3 linked regions of the Tamandua tetradactyla genome follow. The protein of the gene in region 3 purifies or fractionates together with the protein of the main gene of each other region. This does not show direct contact. Links are inferred from orthologs where the notes say so. Each region holds a gene or a part of one and is shown on either strand. Other genes may lie near its edges.

Region 1 (7,008 bases), on a different chromosome or scaffold from region 3:
CTTACGATCCTGAAAAAAGAAGCACTGAACATCAGAGTGATAAGTCCTTGGGCATTTATTAGGCTCTCCCTTACAGACAGCTGCAGCTACCTCGTGATTCACAGTGAGATGGGTGCCAGCTTGAAAGTATCGGGTACCCCGAAAAGCCATGTTTTGATCCTGATCCAATCTCATGAGGGCAGCTGTTTCTTTTCATCTTGATTCAATACTGTAGGGTGGAATCTTTTGATTAGATTATCTCCATGGAGATGTGGTACACCTAATTGTGAGTGTGACCTTTTCATTGGATGAGATGTGACTCCACCCATTCCGGGTAGGTCTTGATTAGTTCACTGGAATCCTTCAAAAGGGGAGACGTTTGGGAGAGAGCCAGAAACGACAGAAGTGACAGAAGTCTCAGAGCCGACAGAAAGTTCACAGCAGAGCTGACACAGATGCCAACACGTGGAGAACAGAAACACGGATGTTTGCAGATGCTTGGAGCCCAGCAGATGTCACCATGAGATGTTAAGCAAGCCAATGCCTGGAGATGAAGCCAAGAGATGAAAGCCAGCCCTGGAGAAGCAAAGTGAGGAAGTCCTACAGGACCAGAGGCTGAAAGCAATGGATCCCAGGAGCAAGGGATCAGCAGGTGCCAGCCACGTGACTCCCCAGCTGACAGAGGGGTTCCTGAGCCATCGGCCTTTCTTGAGTGAAGGTTACCTTCAAGTGTTGGTGAGTGTTGTGTTGGTGCCTTAATTTGGACATTTTCACTTTCTAAAACTGTAAACTTGTAACTTATTCAATTCCCCTTTATAAAAAGCCATTCCATTTCTGGCATATTGCATTCCGGCAGCTTGCAAACTAACACAAATGCCAAGAGGTTCACTCGAGTATATGTGTGCCCATGGCAACCGCTCTACAGATTAGATATGTTGAGACACACCTGTGGCTAAGGGCCAGGGGCCTGTGTGCAGATCTTGGGAAGACATTTTGGTATGTGCTCTTTTCTTAAAACGAGATGTGCTCAGGGTGGGCAACATCCAAAGTTATAGCAGCTAAAGCTTGGCATGCTTCTGGGGGGTCCAAGGAGGAGGGCAGGGATACTGTGGGTCCTTGCTCAGCCAGGAAGTGCTCTATGTGTCACCCAACATGTTGATTTTAAGATGCATAGAAAGGACACTGTGCCATTTTGAAACTGTTGTAGACCCCAGAAAAGCCATGTTCTTCTTCTTTTTTAAAAAAATTTTTTAAATTAATTTTTTAATTAAAAAAAAATTACAGGAAAGAAATACAAACATTCTTAATATATGATCATTCCATTCTACATATATAATCAGTAATTCACAATATCATCACATAGTTGCATATTCATCATCATGATCATTTCTTTGAACATTTGCATCAATTCAGAAAAAGAAATAAAAAGACAACAGAAAAATAAAACGAAAACAGAAAAAAATTATACCTACCATACCCCTTACCCCTCCCTTTCATTGATCACTAGCATTTCAAACTAAATTTATTTTAACATTTGTCCCCCCTATTATTTATTTTTATTCCATATGTTCTACTCATCTGTTGACAAGGTAGATAAAAGGAGCATCAGACACAAGGTTTTTACAACCACACAGTCACATTGTGAAAGCTATATCATTATACAATCATCATCAAGAAACCTGGCTACTGGAACACAGCTCTACATTTTCAGGCAGTTCCCTCCAGCCTCTCCATTTCCTCTTGGGTAATAAGGTGATATCTACTTAATGCGTAAGAATAACCTCCAGGATAACCTCTCAACTCTGTTTGGAATCTCTCAGTCATTGACACTTTGCCTCATTTCACTCTTCCCCCTTTTGGCTGAGAGGGTTTTCTCAATCCCTTGATGCTGGGTCTCAGCTCATTCTAGGTTTTTTTCTCAATCCCTTGATGCTGAGTCTCAGCTCATTCTAGGTTTCCTGCCCCACATTGCCAGGAAGGTCCACACCCCTGGGAGTCATGTCCCACATAGACAGGGGGAGGGTGGTGAGTTTGCTTGTCGTGTTGGCTGGAGAGAGAGGCCACATCTGAGCAACAAAAGAGGTTCTCTTGGGGGTGACTCTTAGGCCTAATTTTAAGTAGAAAGCCATGTTCTTTAATCCTCATTCAGTATTGTTGGCTGGAATCCTTTTGATTAAGTTGTTTCCATAGAAATGTGACCCACCCAATGGTGGGTGGCACCTTTTGATTAGATGGTTTACATAGAGATGTGTCTCTGCCCATTCAAGGTGGGGTTGTTTACTGGAGTCCTTTAAGAGGAAATATTTTGGATAAAGCTCTAGAGCTGACAGAGCCAACAGGAGGCCCAGACATTTAGAGATGCAGAAAGAAAATGCCCCCGGGGAAGCTATTGAAGCCAAAGGACCAGCAGAGGGCAATCACAGGCTTTCCCACATGACAGATATCAGCCTTCCTCTTGTCAAGGTATTATGGCCTTAGAACTGTAAACTTGCGACTTAATAAATCCATCCCCCCTCCCCCGCTTTTTTTTTTGTATGGGCAGGCACTGGGACTTGAACCAGGCGAGAACTCTGCCTGCTGAGCCACCATGGCTCACCCAATAAATCCCCTTTTTTCTGGTGTATTGCATTCTGGCAGCTCTAGCAAACCAAAACAAACATGTTCAATGCTTCCAAAATCATGCTTTAGCCTTCCCCCCACCCCCATCCCAGACCAGAGGCCCCTCAAGTGCAGGGTCTGTTAAATCCTTTAACCAGTGAGACACCCTAAACGCAGAAAACATCAAGATGCCCTATTTCTTGGTAATTTAAAACAAAACAAAAAAACAGTATTAAACCTGAAAATCCTAAATTTAACCTGTTGCTAGAATTCAAGTGGCTTTCTCTGGATTTCCCAAATGCAAAATTCTGGATGATTTCATTAGATATGAACTTTTCTCCCTGCCTCTCTGGTGCCCCAAGCACCAAAGTCAGACTATTGGGTAAAGCAGCCCAGAGCCAATTCCCTCTTGGCTCCCTGCACTGGGCCTGGAGGGAAGTTGGCAGGATGCTCCTGTAATGAATAAACACTGGAGTAAGTTTTCCTCCCCCACCAACTGAGCTGACAGCCCTCAGGGGAGGCAGCAAGCCTGGGACATATCCAGGAAATCTGGGACTGGCCAGACCATCACTCAAGCTTGGTTCCTCTCATATCTCTTTGTCCTTGGACCCTGGATTCTGTTGGGGGAATGTAATAAAAAACAAAATCTCCTGCCAACCTTTAAACATCTCAGCATAAAAGCAGAGGAGAAAGAAAACCATTTCATGATTGAAGAAGTGTAAAATCAGAATGTAATGTCTTATCGCGGGAAACCCGCTAGAGACTGAAGTGACAAAAAGGAATTTTATACATTTCCATACCACACAACTACAACTCATTGCAAGCATGTTCTCAAGATAAAGATAACACGTCCTCAAGCATGAGCACCAATTTTTCAAAGATGCCTAAAATATATCCTAAAGCCACCTGGCCATTGGGGCAGCCAATGTTGCTTAAATGCCTTCATCCAGAATTTTCTCATATCTTTGATACTGGAGGTAGGTAGGTTTGTAACTTCGAGCCGATCCTCCCTTGGAAACTGGGAGATAGGGGCACTATCTTCCTAGATGATTAACATTTCAAAGAGATAGCTCCCAGGTCCTTGAGAAGGAACTTTCTGGATTGTAAAGCTGGCAGGGGGGTTATTTAGCTTTTTTAAAAAATTCACATACAGGGGAAGAATTTAGGATGACAAGCTTTCTAAAGAAAATGTTCTAAAAAAGGGAATGTGCATGGTGAGGGGAATCTCTGTCCCCCCCCCCCATTATTTATTTATTTTTATTTTTGCACCAGGGAAAATTATTATTTTCTATTTGTATTTACACTTCCAGTCCCTAAAACAGCTTTGGTGTTTCCTGGCGAGAACCTGCCATTATTCTAAACATCACAGCTCCCTGCTGCCCTCTGCTGCCCGATGGCCAAGTGGACAAGGGATTCTGCCACAGAAGGATCCCGGCACAAGAGGACCGGGTTGGCTGAGGTGACCGAATGTCCGGGAATGACCGGGTGGCCGATTAACCTCAGGGTCACCCCAGGGACCGAGGGACTACAAGATTCGATAACTTTGGGGTCCACTGATTTAGGGATCTGGAAACCTCAAGACCTTGCAGCTGCGGGCTCGGTGTCGTGGGAGAGAGTAATAATTGAGGGCAGGGGTGTCCAAGGTTAGGGAGCTCCGTGGACCCCGGGGTGCGAGGGGTCCCGGCTCCGCAGCCGCCCGGCGCTCACCTGCAAGCGCTACTCCACGCGTTCCTACCGTCCAGCACCGCCCACCCCTCCCTTGCCTCTCATTGGTGAGCCCTCGTAAGTGAGGACCAATCAGAACTCTCCTCGTGTCTCCAGCCCCCTCCCAGACGCTCTCCGAAAGGCTCGGGGGCGGGTCCCCTCCACGCCGGCCCAATGGCTGTGCAGACGGGGCGCTGCGTGGGCCGGCGATTGGCCGCGGCGGCCAGGCGCTGTCAGAGCCGGATTGGCTGTAGGCGGGGGCGGAAGTAGCCCTGGGGCCCGGGCTGCCGCAGCCGGGGGACCAGGGCGATGCGCAGGGCGGGCTGGGGTCGCGGCCGGGCGGCGGGATCCGCGGCGCTTCTGGGGCTGCTGCTGGCGCTCTTGGTGCCCGGCGGCGGGGCCACCAAGAGCGGCACGGGAGTCGTGACCTGCGGGTCGGTGCTGAAGCTGCTCAACACGCAGCACCGGGTGCGGCTGCATTCGCACGACATCAAATACGGATCTGGTGCGCGGGGCTGGGCCGCGAGCCGGGGCCCTGGGGATCTCCAGGGGGTCGGGTCCGGGGTCTGTGTGGACGCCGATCGCCGCGAGGATCTCGCGTTGAGGAGGGGCGTCGGGATATTGGTGATGGTGGTTGGCGCGGGCAGGGGGGGATTGCAGGCCAAGAACTTGGGGGTGTGTGTGTGTGGTGATCAGCCGGGAGCCAGGGGTAGGGGGTCGGGTTGGGCTGTTGGAGTCGTCGGGGGAAGTCGATGGGTGTCGGGGGCAAGGGTTGGGAGGACAAGATGGGTGTTGATCCCCTGTGGCTGGGTGGGGAGGGTCCTGATCTGAGTCAGTGCCCTTGATCCTTCTCTCCTGTACCGTCTGCCCCCTCCCCGCCCCACCCCCAGGCAGCGGCCAACAGTCGGTGACCGGCGTCGAGGCGTCCGACGACGTCAATAGCTACTGGCGGATCCGCGGCGGCGCGGAGGGCGGGTGCCCGCGCGGGGCCCCGGTGCGCTGCGGCCAGGGTGTGCGGCTCACGCACGTGCTCACGGGCAAGAACCTGCACACGCACCACTTCCCGTCGCCGCTGTCCGAAAACCAGGTGAGGCCCCAGCCCGGGGACCCCCACCTCCACCACGGCCGATATGTGTGTGTGGGTGGGTAGGAGAGGGGCATGGGCCGGGCAGGACCTCAGGACCCTAGCCCCCACCCTCTCTGAGCCTCCAGCTTCCTCATCTGTTAAATGGGAATTTCAGTTCAGCAGTGTTTGCCGGGCACACCCTCTGGGGTGACAGGTGATCCCCCCTCCCAAGAGCATCCCGGGGGACCTGAAAGAGAGCTCTGCCAGGATAACCCCTCTCTGGGGAGGCGTTCAGGGGAAGGACTCCGGCTGGGTGCTGAAGGATGAGTAGGAGTTTTCTGGGCCCTAGTCCAAGAAACTAGTGACTTTCCAGGCCCAGGCGGAGAGGTGATTGGAACTTCGATGGGGGTGCTTTCTGGGAGGGGTAAAGAGAAAGTTTGGGGTAACTAGAGACCTTGAGTGTCAGCCTGGTGGGTTGCAATCTTAGCTGAGGCTTGGTCCAAGTGAGTAGTGAGGACCCGCAACCATGGAGGAGGAAATGGAGGCTGGGAGTGCATGTGTCTGTTTGAAGATCCCCTGTTTGGGATGCTGGGCTTGGGGTGGTGGAGCCCCGTTCTGCAGCGGTAAAAGCCAAATCTCAGAGTGGGGCTGGGAAGGACAGGTACCTCTGCCAGGCTGGCAGCTGCAGGGAACTCGGTCTGTCCTCTGTAAGTGACCGCTGTCCCCACTCTCACCCCGACCCCCACCCCAAGGAGGTGAGCGCCTTCGGGGAGGATGGCGAGGGCGATGACCTGGACCTGTGGACGGTGCGCTGCTCCGGCCAGCACTGGGAGCGAGGGGCCGCCGTGCGCTTCCAGCACGTGGGCACCTCCGTGTTCCTGTCTGTGACGGGTGAGCAGTACGGGAGCCCCATCCGTGGACAGCACGAGGTCCACGGCATGCCGAGCGCCAATGTCCACAACACGTGGAAGGCTCTGGAAGGCGTCTTCATCAAGCCCAGCCCGGAGCCCTCCGCGGGTCACGACGAACTCTGACTTCCTGGATGGGTGGGTGAGGGAGGCAGAGAGTCCAGGCATCCTGGGAGCCAGGCTCGGAGGGGACTTTGGGTGTAGGGGGTGTCCGCAAGTGCCTTTGCGATTAAAGAATGTTACTCTGTGGTTGTGTTTCTCTGTGAGCCTGGCGGTTGTCCTCCCTGATCCCATGCATTGTCTTTTCCTTGTTGTAAAACTCCTGTCTACCAGCCCAGCCTGACTGCCGAACCCACCCAAATCTGGCTGTGCTCTTTTTTTCCCAGCCCTCCAAAGCTGAGCATCCCAAGTTTGGGGCCAGCCCTGGTGATCAGAGCCCTCTGTCCACCCTTGGATTCTCTGATGGAAGTGACCCCAGTTTCCCAGCCCCTGAATTGCATGAACCTTTCTGTTAAAAAAAAAAGACAGAGCTCAGGCCTCAGGGCAGGGGGATCAGAGGAGCCTCACTTGCTACCAGCTGGGATGGGGCACAAGCTCTCCAGCCCCCTCACCCCTTGGCGAGAGCCCCCTTCTCCTAGCACCCCGAGCCTTTGGGGCTGCCTGTGACACTTGTCTCTGATCCAGGGCTCTGCCCATCTGCTGAAAACTAGCATCATAGCTTACCTCTTCCTGGTCCCTTCCCGCTGCACAAGC
Region 2 (7,467 bases), on a different chromosome or scaffold from region 3:
GTGGTGGGAAAAGACTTCTTCAGGCAGAAGCACAGCTGCAGTACAAGATGTGGCTCACAGGGAGAGGCTGGTGGTTACCATGACAGTCTCTGGAAGAGGAATGGAGCTGGGATCAGATTGCCACAGGGGAGGCCATGGCAGTCCCTCCCTTTGAACAAGAAAATGGTAGGAGGCAACTATGAGGAGACTAGAGCAAAAAGAGATCTCGTCTAATTTCCTTCACTCTGCAGTTCCAATCCACATATACTGTTTTTGTTTTGTTCTGTTCTGTTTTTTAGGGTAAAGGTCGGTGCTGGGCCTTGGATATATAAAAATGATTAAAATAAACTTCTTACCCTGGTGAAGATCATAATCTATCTCAAAAAAAAACTTGAAAATAAACTTATGGCAAAATGTAATAAATGTTATCTTAGAGTTATATACAAGGGCTATGAGAACAATGTGAGGAGGGAGGCTGGGGGATGCCTCAGAAAAGGGGATCCCTGAATCGAGAGGGCAGTTGAGAAGATAGTCTGGAAAAAGGCAACACGAGCAAAGCCTTAGGCTTGAAAGAGCCTCGTGGTCTGGGAAAGAGCCAAATGTCTGGGGTGGGGTTTAAACTAAAAGGCATAACACATTCTATATTTTATGAACAAGGGCCTAGATTATTTCAAAGGTATTGAGGAGTGAACACTCAATTTGGAATAAAGAAACCCAAAAGTTAAAATAAAATAATTCAGAGTCCACTGAATTCAGAGTATTTAAAAGACAAGTGTTTTTAAATTTGGGATTCACAACTCTTATGAACAATCTTAACTGTACTAAGCCAAGGTTTTAAGATACAGAAATGGTTAAATTCACCTGTAATCATTTTAACATGCACATCGTATTACAGGAAATAACAGTCTTTAAATCTTTTCAATGCTAGTGTATAAAAATATAATTGTTTAATAATAGCTCCTAACATAAAAAATTAAAAAATAGTTTTTAGCCCTTTTCTTTCTATTTTTCTTCGGGGAAAAAAGAAATAGCAAAAGAGGAGCAGAAACAACTAAACCCTATAATGAGATTCAGAACCTCTGCAACACAGGGAGAAAGTAGCAATTACTGAGGCTTGCAGGGAATACAAAGCCCCTGCTCAAGCACAGGGATTGGTAAACTTTTCCTGTATACTACAGGACTAGATCTGCTGTTGTAGCACAAATGAAGGCATAAATAATATGTAAATGAATGGGTGTACCCTAATTTGGCCACTGATCTTGAAGTACAGGTCTTTAAAGAACTGATGAAGGATATCAAGAGAGAGTATAACAGGGAAACTGAATCTGGCTTTTGAGGAAATGACTTTAAATAAGGACCTAAAGAGTGAAGAGGAGTTAGCTAAAAGAAGGAGCTGGTTTGGAGATGGTAGGGGGACTGCTGGTGCTGAAAAGTGTGCCCAGAAAAAGGCCTACCATGTCCTGGGGGAGTCATAGAGAGGGTCAGTCTGGGGAGAGGAAGGTTCACAACTGAGTTGAAAGTGAAATCATAAGAACCTTTGGAGGGTAAGTTAAAGATCTTGGACCCTACTCTAATGGTGCTGGGAAGTTACTGTAGGGTTTTAAACAGAGAAATGATTCACTTACTTGCCAATTCAACTATTATGTGCCAGGCATGTATTAAGCAGACAAGGTCCCTACACCTAGGATACCCATATTCTGATGCAGGAGACAAACCACAAACAAATAAATAAACTTTCCTACAAGTGCTATTAAGGAAATAAACAGGGTGCTACCTAGATAGGGCAGACATTTCTGAGAGGCTAAGTTTAGACTAAGATGCGAAGAATGGGTAGAATGTGGCATGCTGAGCCAGGGGAGGAGGTTCCCCCTAGAAAAGGTGGGCAAAACTGGGTATATGATAGGTGATGTCCTAAGGCCAGTGTCACTAGACTATGATGAAGGCAGGCAGAATGTAAGAGGGAGGATAGTTCAAGTAGGGTCATGAAGGTCACAAAAAGCCACTGGAATAGTTTTAAACAGAGAAATGACATGACCTGAACTGCCATGATCCTCCTGCACAGAAAATGGAATGGAAGAGAATTTGAATGGAAGCAGGGAAAACTGAGGATGCTTTGAGGTAACCCTGGCAGAAGATAATAGTGGCTTGAAGTATGTTGGTGGTAGTGAAGATGGAGAACAGAAGACAGACTTGAAATATATTTTGGAGGTAGAAGTGACAGGACTTTCTCAAGTACTTGTGTGTGTGTGTGGGGGGGGGGGGAGTAGGAAGTGAGGGAGAAGAATCAAAGATGATTCCCAGAGGTCTGGCTCTGGTATCCATACGGATGGGCGCGTCACTTAGGAGATGGGGTAGATCAGCTTTAGAAGCATGGGATACCCAAATTTTCATCTGGGTATGTTAGGTTTGAGATGTCTAAGAGACATCCAAATGGAGTTATCAAGTAAGAAATCTGATGTATGATTCTAGAACATGGGGAAGAGAGGGCTGGGCCAGAGATTTAATGTAAGAGTTGCCACTTTTCAGATGGCAACTGAAGTCATGGAACTGGATCACCTAAAGAAAGCATGTACATAGAAAATAGGACACAGGCTGAAATGTTGAATGAATGTCAACATTTAGACATTAGGTAGAGAACCAAAGAGGCTAAGAAAGGAGACAGAGAAAAGGCAACCAGAGAAATAGAGAAAATCCAAGAGTGAGATGTTCTAGAAAGGATAGCATGTCAAGAAAGGAGTAACTAATTATATTGAATGTCTCAGAAACTGAAGAAAACAAAAACAAAGTATCCACTGGATTTGGCAACACAGAAATTACTGGTGACCTTGACAAGAGCAATTTCAACAGAGTATTCAGAAAAGAAGCCAGAATGGAGTAGACTGAGGAGTAACTAGAAAGTTGAATTGGCACAGACAGAAGTCTGGCTATGAAGGGCAGTCAAAAGTGTGGGATGGTAGTGAGGGATCTAGAATATAATTGTGTGATAACAGGAAAAGATTTCTATGGGGAGGTAGAAAAATCAATATGATTTGGTGATTGAGCATATTTGAGGAATAATGGAGAAGAAGGATCCAAGAATTATACGTAAGTTTCTGATGGTGATGCCATTTATTGAGACCAAGAATATAGAAGCAAAGGCAAATTTATTTTCTTTCAAAGATGGTATGTTTCTACTACACTAGCTAGGTCTCCGTTCTTGAGAAGGAGGGCTTAGGAGGGAGATCTTTAATGAGTCTCTCCAGACCTCACTACTTCCTAGTGTGATGAATCTCTTGATGAGGTTAAAACCTTAAGGAATAATGGTAATATGTTAAATCTAATCTAGCAGCCACACAGGCGAACTGAATAAAAGGCCCTACATTCACAGCTGATCAGGGCATAACCATGCTTTTGTAAGTAATACAACGAAAACTTGCAAACTGGTAACTCTGAGACAAACAGTGGAACTAAGCTTCCCTCCTACCCATCACCCCCTCACAAAGAAACTAACCAAATTACCAAACAATGTTATTTACACTTCATGTTCATTAATAGCAACAGTTCAGCTTAATAAGACCTTACTACCTCCGACACTACAGTGAATTCCCACCAAGCATTTGCAGAGACCTTAAGGCCTCCCCTTAAAGAAAAATAAGTATCAGTTCTTACAATGCAGAGAAATGAATTGCCCCAAATGGTTCAAGGTGTCTGGAGAGGAAGATAGAAAATGGAAGAAGAAACAGTTTTAACTTTCTATTCTGATGCTCCTCATAGGCATTTGGCAAATGTTTGAGGAAATGAGTCAATGGAGAATGGACGAGCTTCAGTCTAAAAAGACTTTAGGTACAGTCTTTAGAAAAGGTTAAATGATGAAAACACCCTCAAGAGGTTCTAATTTTATGCTTCAAAAACACGAGAAAAGCTGAAATTTGGCATGGCCTTTAGCCTAATGGCTTAACTACTGAAGGCTCTGTAGGATTCACATCCCCAGAGCAAACAATTAGATCATCTAATCCCAGCTCAGGAGCTTCCATTCGCGTGGCCCAGTTTTCAGAAGCTTCAGAGAGAAGGACGGGATACCAGCAAGCCTGTTGGTTCAACAGGCCACCCCAATTCACAGGTTCCCGGTGCTACCGGATTGGGAAAAACCTTAAGATTTTGAAAAGCTACCCAGATTTCCTTCCTCTCCTTCTTCATGGAACAGAGAAGGCCAGGCGCCCCTTCTTCCCGCATACGTCTTTCCAATGCCTCTGCCCTTAGGAGACCAGGCCCTAGGGGCCTGGTTCCCCACTTGACCCATGCGAGAAACCCGCTCTCCAGTCCGGGCTTTACTTACCTGGCTCCCGCCGCTTCTCCGGAGCGGTAAGTCCCCACCGAGGAAAATGGAGTCGTCGAACCGAGACTGGTAAAGGATAGTACGGACCCACAGCACGGCCCCTACACCGCCACCGCCACCGCCGCCGCCGCCGCTGCTGCGTCAACGTGCTACGTCACTTCCGGCTCCCTGTCATTGGGAGTGGGTTGGCCATTTCTTGCTCCCTTTTCCCGCAGGGATCTTGGGGCCTTTGTCCAGGGGAAAGCGGGGAAAAAGGTAGCAGAAGCGGTTCAGGAAAGCAAATGTCACAGAGCCCCGGAAACGGGGCGAGGAGATCGAAAGCAACCAGGTCCGGCCGGTTTCTCAGGCCGCTCTAGCCAAAGGAACCATAAAGACCAAACCTCGGACTGCTTCACTTCCTCCTTTCAGTGTTTCTGCCTGCAGCATCCGGTTCCGGGGAGGGGCCGGGTCTTCTAAGAGTAGGGGCTTCGGAGTTCAGCCAGGATGGCTGTGGTACCACTGTTGCTGTTCGGGGGTTTGTGGGGCGCTGTGGGAGCGTCCAGTTTGGCTGTTGTTACATGCGGGTCTGTGGTGAAGCTACTTAATACACGCCACAACGTCCGGCTCCACTCACATGACGTGCGCTATGGGTCAGGTACTGCGGGGGACCGGGTTTGGTTCTGGTAGGCTCCGGAGGGAGTGGGGCCTAGAGAAAATCTGAGGAGGGTCTGGAGATTCGGTAAAACTTAATTGGCTAAAGGCATCTTAATCATAGTTTTTCAATTTTTAAAATTTCTGTTAGGTAGATAGTATTGTTATTCTCATTTTACAGATAAAGAAACCAAGAGAAATTAAATCGCTTGCTCAAAGCCTTGCAGCTAGTGAACGGCAGAGGCGGGTTTTGATCTAAATCTGTCCAATTTCAAAGTCTACTTTCAGCTATTCTAGGCTGGCATCACTCAGTGCGCTAAAGACAGAAACGTAGATATTACAGAAATGTAGATAGAAATAAGTCCTGTATTTTTGAAGTCTTGAATGCCAAAAGCGCACTTTCTGACCATAACCTGCTGTCTTCCCAGCTCTTTCGCATGTTATACTTCTTCAACTCCTACCCTTTGACCCCTTTTTGCTTGGATCTTACTCTCCTTGTAAAGAACTTAAACTAAAGCAGTGACAGGAATTGAAGAGGAAGCTGATTAGAGGGCTTTTTACCATAAAATTTAAATGCTCATTAATCAGTTATTTGTGGGTTCATTGATTCTGCATGGATTTGATGAGCTAATACTAGGTGCTTAGATACAGGAAATATGGTAGTGAACAAGTCAAGCTAAGTACAAGAAAACAAAAGTAGACGAAAAAAGAAGAATTTAGCAAGTGAGGCGCAAGAGGAATCTAAGATGATTGTCAGATTTTGGTCTTGGATGACTGATGATGCTAGTAACTAAGAAAGGAAGGAGTATCAGAGAAAAGTCTTGGGAAATATGGGATACCTTCAAAGAATTGGGTAGCAAATGGTGTCTAGGAAAGAAGATGTCTCTGGAGTTTATTTGAGAACAGCCTGCTTTGGGGAACTTGACAGAATATAAAATTGGACGAGGAAAAATGGCTTGTGGGAGGCCATGTGGTGGAGTGGAGCATCAGGCTGCCTGTGTTCAAACCCCAGTCCTGACTCTTGGAGCTATGTGACCTTGGGTACCTAGCTCAGGAAACAAATACTTGTATCAAATAAGAATATTCAGGCAAAGGGTTTGGGTTGGTGCCTAGCATCTAGTAAGTGCTCAGTACACATTAGCAACCTGTAGCTAATAATGATCATTTGTTTTTGTTGTTGTTGTTTTAAACTTGTAGCTATATGTTTAGTGCAGTACCTTTTAATCTGTAGAATTATACCACTTTGAGGCAGCATTATCTAAATTTAGATGACTCAAAAATACTTTCATAATAAATTGATAGACCATTCATGGGAGTTTTGGAGCTGTAATGGCTGCTTGGATTAAAGTTGACAGCAAAAAGTGGTCTCGTTTTAATTGTGAAATGTGATAATTTTTATTGTAATATACACTTAACACTGAATAATATTACAAACATGTTAAAATTATGTGATTAGACACATGGCATATACTAGGGGCTATACAGGTTCATATATAAAGGTAAGCACTGCCAGTGCTTCCAAAAAACACGTATATTTGCGTATCTAATGCTCTTTGGTGCAAATTCTTGAAATTTTTTAAAAGGACATATTCTTAAGTATAGTTTTATCATACAATAACTAATACTTTATTAATGTATTTAGTATTCATAGTTTAATGTTTTAGAAGAAAAAATATTACAAAGCATAATGTTTCCTCCCTGTTCTTCTATACCTATTTATGACATAAAACACAGTACTGTCCATAGGAAAGAGAAGGGTCAGGTTGAGTTCATTCTCCTTCTTTTTTTTTTTTCTCCATTCTTTTTTTGACTGTAGGTAGTGGGCAACAGTCAGTGACGGGTGTAAGTTCTGTGGATGACAGCAATAGTTATTGGAGGATACGGGGCAAGACTGCCACAGTGTGTGAGAGGGGAACCCCCATCAGATGTGGCCAGCCCATCCGGCTGACACATGTCAACACTGGTCGAAATCTCCATAGTCACCACTTCACTTCACCTCTTTCTGGAAACCAGGTGAGGTAGCATCCAGTGGATCATTTCTGCTTTAAACATTACTCAGTTGGGTTGTTGTTTGATCTTCTGGTTCTTAGTTCTTTCTTTTCCAGGTGAAGATGTTCTCTTTTATGCACACTTGGAGAAATGACTCTGTCTCTTTCTTAAGTGTAAAGAGAATTGTTTCTGGTCAAAAGGGAGACTTTATATCTAGATCAAATCAAGAAATAGAAAGGAAAAACAGAATAAGTATATTGTAAGTTCTGATAAATCCTGTTGTAATGTGTAATAATGTAATAATGAAACCCAGTGTTTTCCATGCTCACAATAAAAATGATGATTGTTTTTTAATAATGTGAACTAACTGTGGCACCATTGTTATGAGGTAGCGTTCTATAGGGTTACCTTTGGCAACCTCCATATTAGGAAAATGAATTCGGTATTGTGCCACTTATTTAAGCCTTGAGCCTTCAGGGTATGTGGACGTCTTAATGACTATTTCTCCCCCTGTGCACAGTTTCCTCTACTATTAACATCTTAACATTACTATG
Region 3 (7,202 bases):
TTTGGTACAAAATTTATATTTTGACTAGTGCATTTCCTAATATAACTTATGTGAACAGCTTAATTGAACACCATAAGTACAGGGAGCCTTGAGTAGGGCATAAGATTTTCTAGGTTTGTCCAGAGTGATACCCCAATAAATCCCAGAGTGATCTGAACAGTGAGTAAAAAAGTATTTGCAAAGTCCCCTTGGGAGAATGGTGAGAAAGGAGGAAAATTCAACTTCCCCAAGTAGAGAATTCTTGATATTCTCACAAGCAGTGGGGACAACCAAAGCAATAGGCTGAGTCCTCAATTTTGGGGTTTGTTCATATGAAACTTAACCCCACAAAAGACAGACTAAGCCTACTTAAAATTAGGACTAAGAGTCACCCCCAAGAGAACCCCTGTTTTTGCTCAGATGTGGCCTCTCTCTCCAGCCAACACAACAAGCAAACTCACCGCCCTCACCCCATCTACACAGGACATGACTCGCAGGGGTGTGGACCTTCCTGGCAACGTGGGACAGAAATCCTAGAATGAGCTGGGACTCAGCATCAAGGGATTGAGAAAACCTTCTCGACCAAAAGGGGGAAGAATGAAATGAGACAAAATAAAGTGTCAATGGCTGGGAGATTCCAAAGAGTCAAGAGGTTGTCCCGGAGCTTATTCTTACGCATTACATAGATATCACCTTGTTAGTCAAGATGTAATGGAGGGGCTGGAGGGAACTGCCTGAAGATGTAGAGCTGTGTTCCAGTAGTTATGTTTCCTGAAGATGATTGTATAATGATATAGCTTTCACAATGTGACTGTGTGATTGTGAAAACCTTGTGTCTGATGCTTTTATCCACCTTATCAACAAATGAGTAAAACATACAGCATAAAAATAAATAATAGGGGGAACAAATGTTAAAATAAATTGAGTAGAATGAAATGCTAGTGATCAATGAAAGGGGGGGTAAGGGGTATGGTATGTATGAATTTTTTCTGTTGTCTTTTTATTTCTTTTTCTGAATTGATGCAAATGTTTTAAGAAATGATTATGATGATGAATATGCAACTAGGAGATGATACTGTGCATTACTGATTATACATGTAGAACGGAATGATCATATGTTAAGAATGTTTGTGTTTGTTGTTATATTTTTTAAAAATTTTTTAATTAATTAAAAAAAAAGAAATGTGAAAAAAAATGTGCACCCTGACTAACATATCAGTGGTTCATAAGCAGTCACACACACCAAAATATTTTTTAAATCAATGGAACTATTCTCCTCTTTCAGTTATAGGATTCACATAACATTATTGCTTTAGGATAAAATAAGGATGGGTGAGTAAGAAACAATTCATTAAATATATTAAATACTGACAAACCAGAACTGCCAAAACTCAAATAGACCTTTGGGATCACAATGGTCATTAGCCTAAAATAAACTATCCAGCTGGTACAAAGATCACAGATAAAGAAAGAAATTATTCATTTCCCTAACAATTTCACACACACAAAAATCCATACCTGATTTCTTTGCTTTTCGACTTCATCCTCAGATATGCAATTGGACATAACCTCAGACCATTCCAGACGCTCTTCGGGTGTCCTTTCCACAAGACTATCAAATACTTCAAAGTAAAGCCATGCCAGATCCTTAGCCAACTGCAGTTTCCCACACGCAATGTGCCTCCATGTAGACCAGTAGAGCCGTGGGAAAGCACTGCATGTGGCCCGGGTTCGCACATAGCTGGATATCTTCCTGAGATAGTGAAGGCTGAACTTGGATGGAGGAGGCACCTGTAAGGCGCCCACCATAAATGGTTCTGCTTTCACCCAAAGGAGAACTCCAGACTGATCCATGCTATCTCTAAGGACAATTGTGTAAAAAGTCTTCTTTGCATACCTAGGAAACAAAGTTTCTTCACAAACTGATCTGAAACAACAAAACTCATTTATAAATGTCTTAGAAGGTGACACCTCCCTTAACTGTTTTTAAATGTACTACACCAGTTTGAAAAGTAGCACTATTTCATCAACCAGAAGTAGAATAAAGTTTTTATTGGATTTCATTAAAATCTACTTGGGCAAGAAGATTTTTGCAATACAACAAAATTGTCTTGCTTGTATTGTTACTTTCATTGGCGATTAAAGGAAGAGTATGCAAAAGTGTATTCCTTGCTATTACTCAACCAGTCACCTAATTTTAGACATTTAACAGGTATAAAAATTTTTCACAAAAACAAGATAGACAAAATATTGATCACTTTTGACGCTGGGTGATGGGTATACTCTACTTTTGTGTATACTAAAAATGTCCTTAATAAGTTTAAGTGTTTTCAAAATTATAAATAATGCTGTTTACCATCTTTCTGCATAGCTGCTTCTGCATTATAAATGATTTCCCAAGGAAAATTATCAGATGTGTATCTGACAGATGAAGTAATACTGACATTTTTGAAGCTCCTGACATATATTTCTATTGCTTTCCAAAATTTTACCAAATTGTACCATCACTTGACCACAGTACTCTCTTCATTGAATACTCCTCACCATTAAGTAACATCATCTTTAAAAAAAAAAGCCTTTCCTTATAACTATGCATCTTTTGGAAATTGTTCAAAAAAATAATTGATTGTCCATGCAAAAACTTACGTACAAATGTTTATAGCAGCATTATTCACAATCACCAAAAGATGGAAACAACCCAAAAGCCCATCAACTGATGAATAGATAAACAAAATGTGGTATATCCATACAACAGTATATTATTCAGCCATAAAAAGTAATGAAGTAGTGATGAATGTTACAAGATGAACCTTAAATATACATTATGCTAAATAAAACAAGCCATTCACCAAAAAACACATATTGTATGAAATGTCCAGAACAGGGAAACCTATGTAACAGTAAGTAGGTTGGTGGTTGCTTAGGCCTGGGGGGGAATTTTCTCATAATGGAAAACATGATGTGAAAACTAAAGACGAAGAGGTTTCTTTTAATGTAATGAAAACGTTCTAAAATTCACTGTGCCAATGGTTGCACAAATCTGTGAATATACTTAAAACCCTTGAATTGTGCCCTTTAAATTGACGAACTGTAGATGAATTATATCTCAATAAAGCTGTTTTTAAAAACTGACACTAATCCAGTGCTTACTATATGCCAGGCAGCATGCTAAACATTTTGCGTACTTCATGTTTTCATCCTCACAACACCTCCATCTCATTTACAGATGAGGGAAATGAGGTTTAGAGAAGTTAAAAGACTTGACCAAAACTGCATAATTAGTTCGCACGGCCCTAGATTACAATTAAATGTTTCTCTGACTTGAGAATCGTGTTGTTACAGATGTACTTTGGGAATTCAATTTGGATGAACCTTTAATAAACGGGACGCCGACTATAATAAAGAGCCTTAGACATGAGACCAAATAAGGGCCAGGTGAAGGAGTTTGGGATTCTGAGCCAAAAAGGCGCGTGGAGAGTAAACAAGTCTTCCCTAAATGGGCAAGGCTTAATATCGTTCTGAATACAACTAGAGGATGGTTACAGGAGGAAAATCTTAGTTCTTCCCAAAACGTAAATAGGCTGCTCTGAAGTGTGCAATCAAAAGCCAAATCCTACGGATGTATACTCTCTAAGGTCTCTTCTAATTCTGCAACTCCGGAGGTCTAAACTCGCAGTCAAAAGCCATATCCTAAGGACGTCCTTTCCAAGGTCTCCAAATTCCGGAAGTCGAAATTCACAAACAAACATATCCTGGGGCCTTTACCTCTCCTAAAACTCCTCAGGGAGACGCTGGCGTTAAGGTTTCTCCGGCGGGGAGGCCGGCGTGTGGACAACGGCCGGGCCGCCGCCTAGAACACAGCCGGGAAAAGGCGGCGGGGACGTGCCAGAGCCCTGATACGGGAAGCCCGAGCTATGGAAACAGAGACGCCCCAGCTGACAGGGTCCGAAGCGCACCCTGGCTTCGCGTCTGGGAAGCGCGAATACACCCTTCTCAATCCCAGCCTAAAACTTGACCCATTCATCCCTCTCCCAGCCCACCAGCCACCGACCGCCGCGCGCTGTTACCTGCGAGCGCAAAGCCCCTACACCCGGGTTCCCAGCGCGCCTCGACACCCAATGCGCATGCGCGGGGGCTTGTATCACCGAGAAGCAGCAGGCGGCGTTGCTAGAGCGCCGCCTCTTCAGTGACGGAGACCAATTGGGAGGCCTGGAGTCCTCGATGAGGAGCCAGACCCGGCTGCTCTCTAGTGGCGCGTCTTTCCACCCAGAGAATAAGTTTTCTAATGCTCTACAGAACCGTGGGTCTGTCAGTAGCGGCTGGTAAGGTCAGCACGCTTTGATAAGTAATAATGATTATGGCAGTTTAGATTTATAGAGCGCTTATTATGGGCTGGGCACTGTGTAAAGCACTTATACGTGCATTTTTTTTCAGTCTTCCCAAGAGTCCATCAAATTAAAAACATTTGTTATACTGATGAAGAAACTGGGATTGTAGAGAGATTTAAGTAACACACCCCTAAGGGCACACAATTAGAGAAGAGCCAACATTTAAACCCAGGCAGTCGGAGATGAAAGCCCCTTGCGTTATCTCCTTAACTCTGTTAGTTTTCCTGCCGTGTTACCGTCTTCGTGAAGATTTTTTTTTATTCCACCCAGCAGAAGATATCACCTCTTATTTATGATTTGTGGCCTTTTCCTGCTTTTCTTTGTTCCTTTATGGCCTCTCTTGGTGTGGGGGATACAAAGGGATATAAGACAAAAAGTGTAGTTTACTTCCTCATTTACGTGGCTTCTCTCCCTAAGAGACATCTTCCTAAAAGTAGTAAACCATGTCTTCCTCTTAGTCCCACATATGTGTAGATGCAAAAAACAGGGACTTCGATTCAGACAGACCTGGTTGAGGATTCAGGCTGCACCATTTACTAGCTCATTGACCTTTGGCAAATTTTGTCACTTATCTATGTCTTAGTTTTCTGCCAACAGCAATAATTATTCATCGAGCACCACTGTGTGCCTGACACAATGCAAGGCACAAGGGTTACAGCAATGAACAAAACAGAGAGGATCCCTGCTTTCTTGGAGTGTATATTTTCCATTTTTTTTTGGCACAGGCAGGCTCTGGGGATCGAACCCGCGTCTCCGGTACAGCAGGTGAGAATTCTGCCACTGAGCCACCAGTGCACATCCTTCTTGAAGTGTGTATTTTAATAGGAAGAATACACAATACATATTGAGGAAATAGAATAATTTCAAATGTAAAAAGTGCTATGAAAACTGGGAGGCGGGAGACTAAGAAGGCCATTTAATAGGGCCGACATTTGAGCTAAAGCCTAAAGAAGCAGCCATATGGAGGTCACAATCAAAGCAACTAGTCATCCATTTACCAAAAAAATAGTTGTGTGCCTATTCTGTTCTAAGATACTAGGGGTATAAGAGTGAATATAACAGACCAGATTCATGATCCTGTGGAACTGACATATAAGTGTGGGGATGTGAGGGTCAGGGATGGAAACAAAATAGGGTGTTGTGAGAATAAGGGATTTGGTATGTGCTAATTTTGATTGGATGGACAGGGAAGTCCTCTCTGAAGTGACATTTAAACTGATATAAGAAAGGAGTTATCCATGTTAGGATCTGAGGGAAGAGTGTCTCAGGTAGAGGGAACAGCTAGTACAAGGACCCTAAGGCAGGAATGAGCTTGGTGTGTTCAAAAAAGAGAAAAGAAGCTAGTTTTGTTGGCAGTATCCTAGGTGAGAGTACAGGTCATGTAAGGTTTCATAAGGTAGGGTAGGAAGAGTTGGAATTTTGTTCTACGTGTAATGAAAAGCCATTTGGAGCTTTTAAGCAGAGAAGCCACATAATCTTAATTATTTATTTATTATTTATTTTTGTCGTTGGGGAGTGGGGAGCGCAGAGGCTGAAAATGGATGGTAGGATATTAACAGTAAAGGCAGGGACGTCAGTTAGGAGTCCCTGTCAGGGAGAGATGATATTGACTTAGCCCAGAGAGGTAGTGGATATGTAGAGCAGTGCACCAGAGATTCAGGACACAGTTAAGAGGTAAAGAATTGGACAAGTGATGCAGGAAAAGAATCAAGAAAGGCACCAAGAATTTTGTCCTCAACAACGAGGTGGTGCGTTTACTGAAATGATCAAAAGTAGGTGAAGATTGGGACGAATCAAATAGTTCCATTCATAACTGCAATAAGTTATTATTCATTGCGTGCTTACTATACGCCTGATGCTGTGCTAGACAATTTACAGATTTCCTAACATTAAAAACTCACAACACTTCCAGTAGTGTTTTGCCCCAATTTTGTTCATCAAGTACCTTAGGCTCGTCTTACGGTTAAGAAGTGGTGGAAGCCGAATCCGAACCTAAGTCTATCTACCTACATCAAAGATGCTCACCTTAGGCACCATGGCTTTTTCTCTGTAAAATTTTCTCAGGAGATTGTTTGGATTATTTAAAATAAAATCTCTTAAGCAGTGGAACCGATGTACATTGAGCCTGGAATAACTGTCCCGCCCATTTTGCCGTCATCCTTGCGTACTGGCGTCCGGAAGGACGCTCAAAATGAATGAAATTCCGAGACATGTGACCTAGAAAAAGCCTTCCTCCTGCAATTGGTCGGTGCTGGAGGAAGCGCCCCGTGATTGGTGGAGAGTCCAAGGGGCCGGGCGGGAGGACCTTCTTGTGCCTCCGGTGTCCTCCTGTGGCACCCACCTCCCCCCTCTCTTTACGTAGTTTTCTGCGACAGGCGGGGCTGCACGGCTTCCTGCGGCGGCGCGACACTCTGACGTCTTCTTTTCTAATTGGCCGAGAGCTGGGGCTGCTTAACTGGAGGTCGCGCCGCCTCGGAGGTGAAGTGTACTGCTCTGATTGGCTCCGCGGCGCCGGCCGCGTGTGATGTCCCTAGCAGCGATTGGCTCTCGTCCGCTGGGGGCTTCTTTCACTGGGATTTGGGACTCCCGGGAAGTCGACCAGCGAAGGAGTGGGCAAGCTAGCTGTGGCTGCGGACCGAGGAGGAGACCCCCGGCGTGAGGTGGCCTCACAGGGCCGTGCGGACTGGCTAGCGGAAGTGGCCACGGGGGAGACGGCGAGGAGTGCGTGAGACCCGGGCCGGGACGGAAGAACTATGGCCCCGCAGAACCTGGGCACCTTCTGCCTGTTGCTGCTGTACCTCATCGGGGCCGTGATCGCTGGGTGAGGGACAGGCA

The links.
Region 1: the proteins of DNAJB11 (region 3) and SDF2L1 purify together in Homo sapiens (affinity purification with mass spectrometry; 3 studies listed by BioGRID and IntAct, counting the BioPlex papers as one, with this or other methods). This does not show direct contact. The link is inferred for Tamandua tetradactyla from reciprocal best matches to the Homo sapiens genes DNAJB11 and SDF2L1.
Region 2: the proteins of DNAJB11 (region 3) and SDF2 purify together in Homo sapiens (affinity purification with mass spectrometry; 3 studies listed by BioGRID and IntAct, counting the BioPlex papers as one, with this or other methods). This does not show direct contact. The link is inferred for Tamandua tetradactyla from reciprocal best matches to the Homo sapiens genes DNAJB11 and SDF2.

Annotation. Positions count from the first base shown.
Region 1 is NC_135331.1:26,318,989-26,325,996, reverse strand, and holds SDF2L1 (stromal cell-derived factor 2-like protein 1), read left to right. Parts: upstream 1-4,548; 5' UTR 4,549-4,590; coding exon 4,591-4,786; intron 4,787-5,171; coding exon 5,172-5,368; intron 5,369-6,099; coding exon 6,100-6,381; 3' UTR 6,382-6,504; downstream 6,505-7,008.
Region 2 is NC_135332.1:51,869,172-51,876,638, reverse strand, and holds the start of SDF2 (stromal cell-derived factor 2), read left to right. Parts: upstream 1-4,463; 5' UTR 4,464-4,777; coding exon 4,778-4,928; intron 4,929-6,740; coding exon 6,741-6,937; intron 6,938-7,467.
Region 3 is NC_135336.1:5,481,137-5,488,338, forward strand, and holds the start of DNAJB11 (dnaJ homolog subfamily B member 11), read left to right. Parts: upstream 1-4,195; 5' UTR 4,196-4,264; coding exon 4,265-4,301; intron 4,302-5,092; coding exon 5,093-5,132; intron 5,133-6,392; coding exon of another isoform or gene 6,393-6,404; exon of another isoform or gene 6,405-6,692; intron 6,693-6,798; exon of another isoform or gene 6,799-7,120; coding exon of another isoform or gene 7,121-7,188; intron 7,189-7,202. Other genes in the region: TBCCD1 (TBCC domain-containing protein 1), read right to left, coding at 1,498-1,833. UniProt on the Homo sapiens protein: As a co-chaperone for HSPA5 it is required for proper folding, trafficking or degradation of proteins.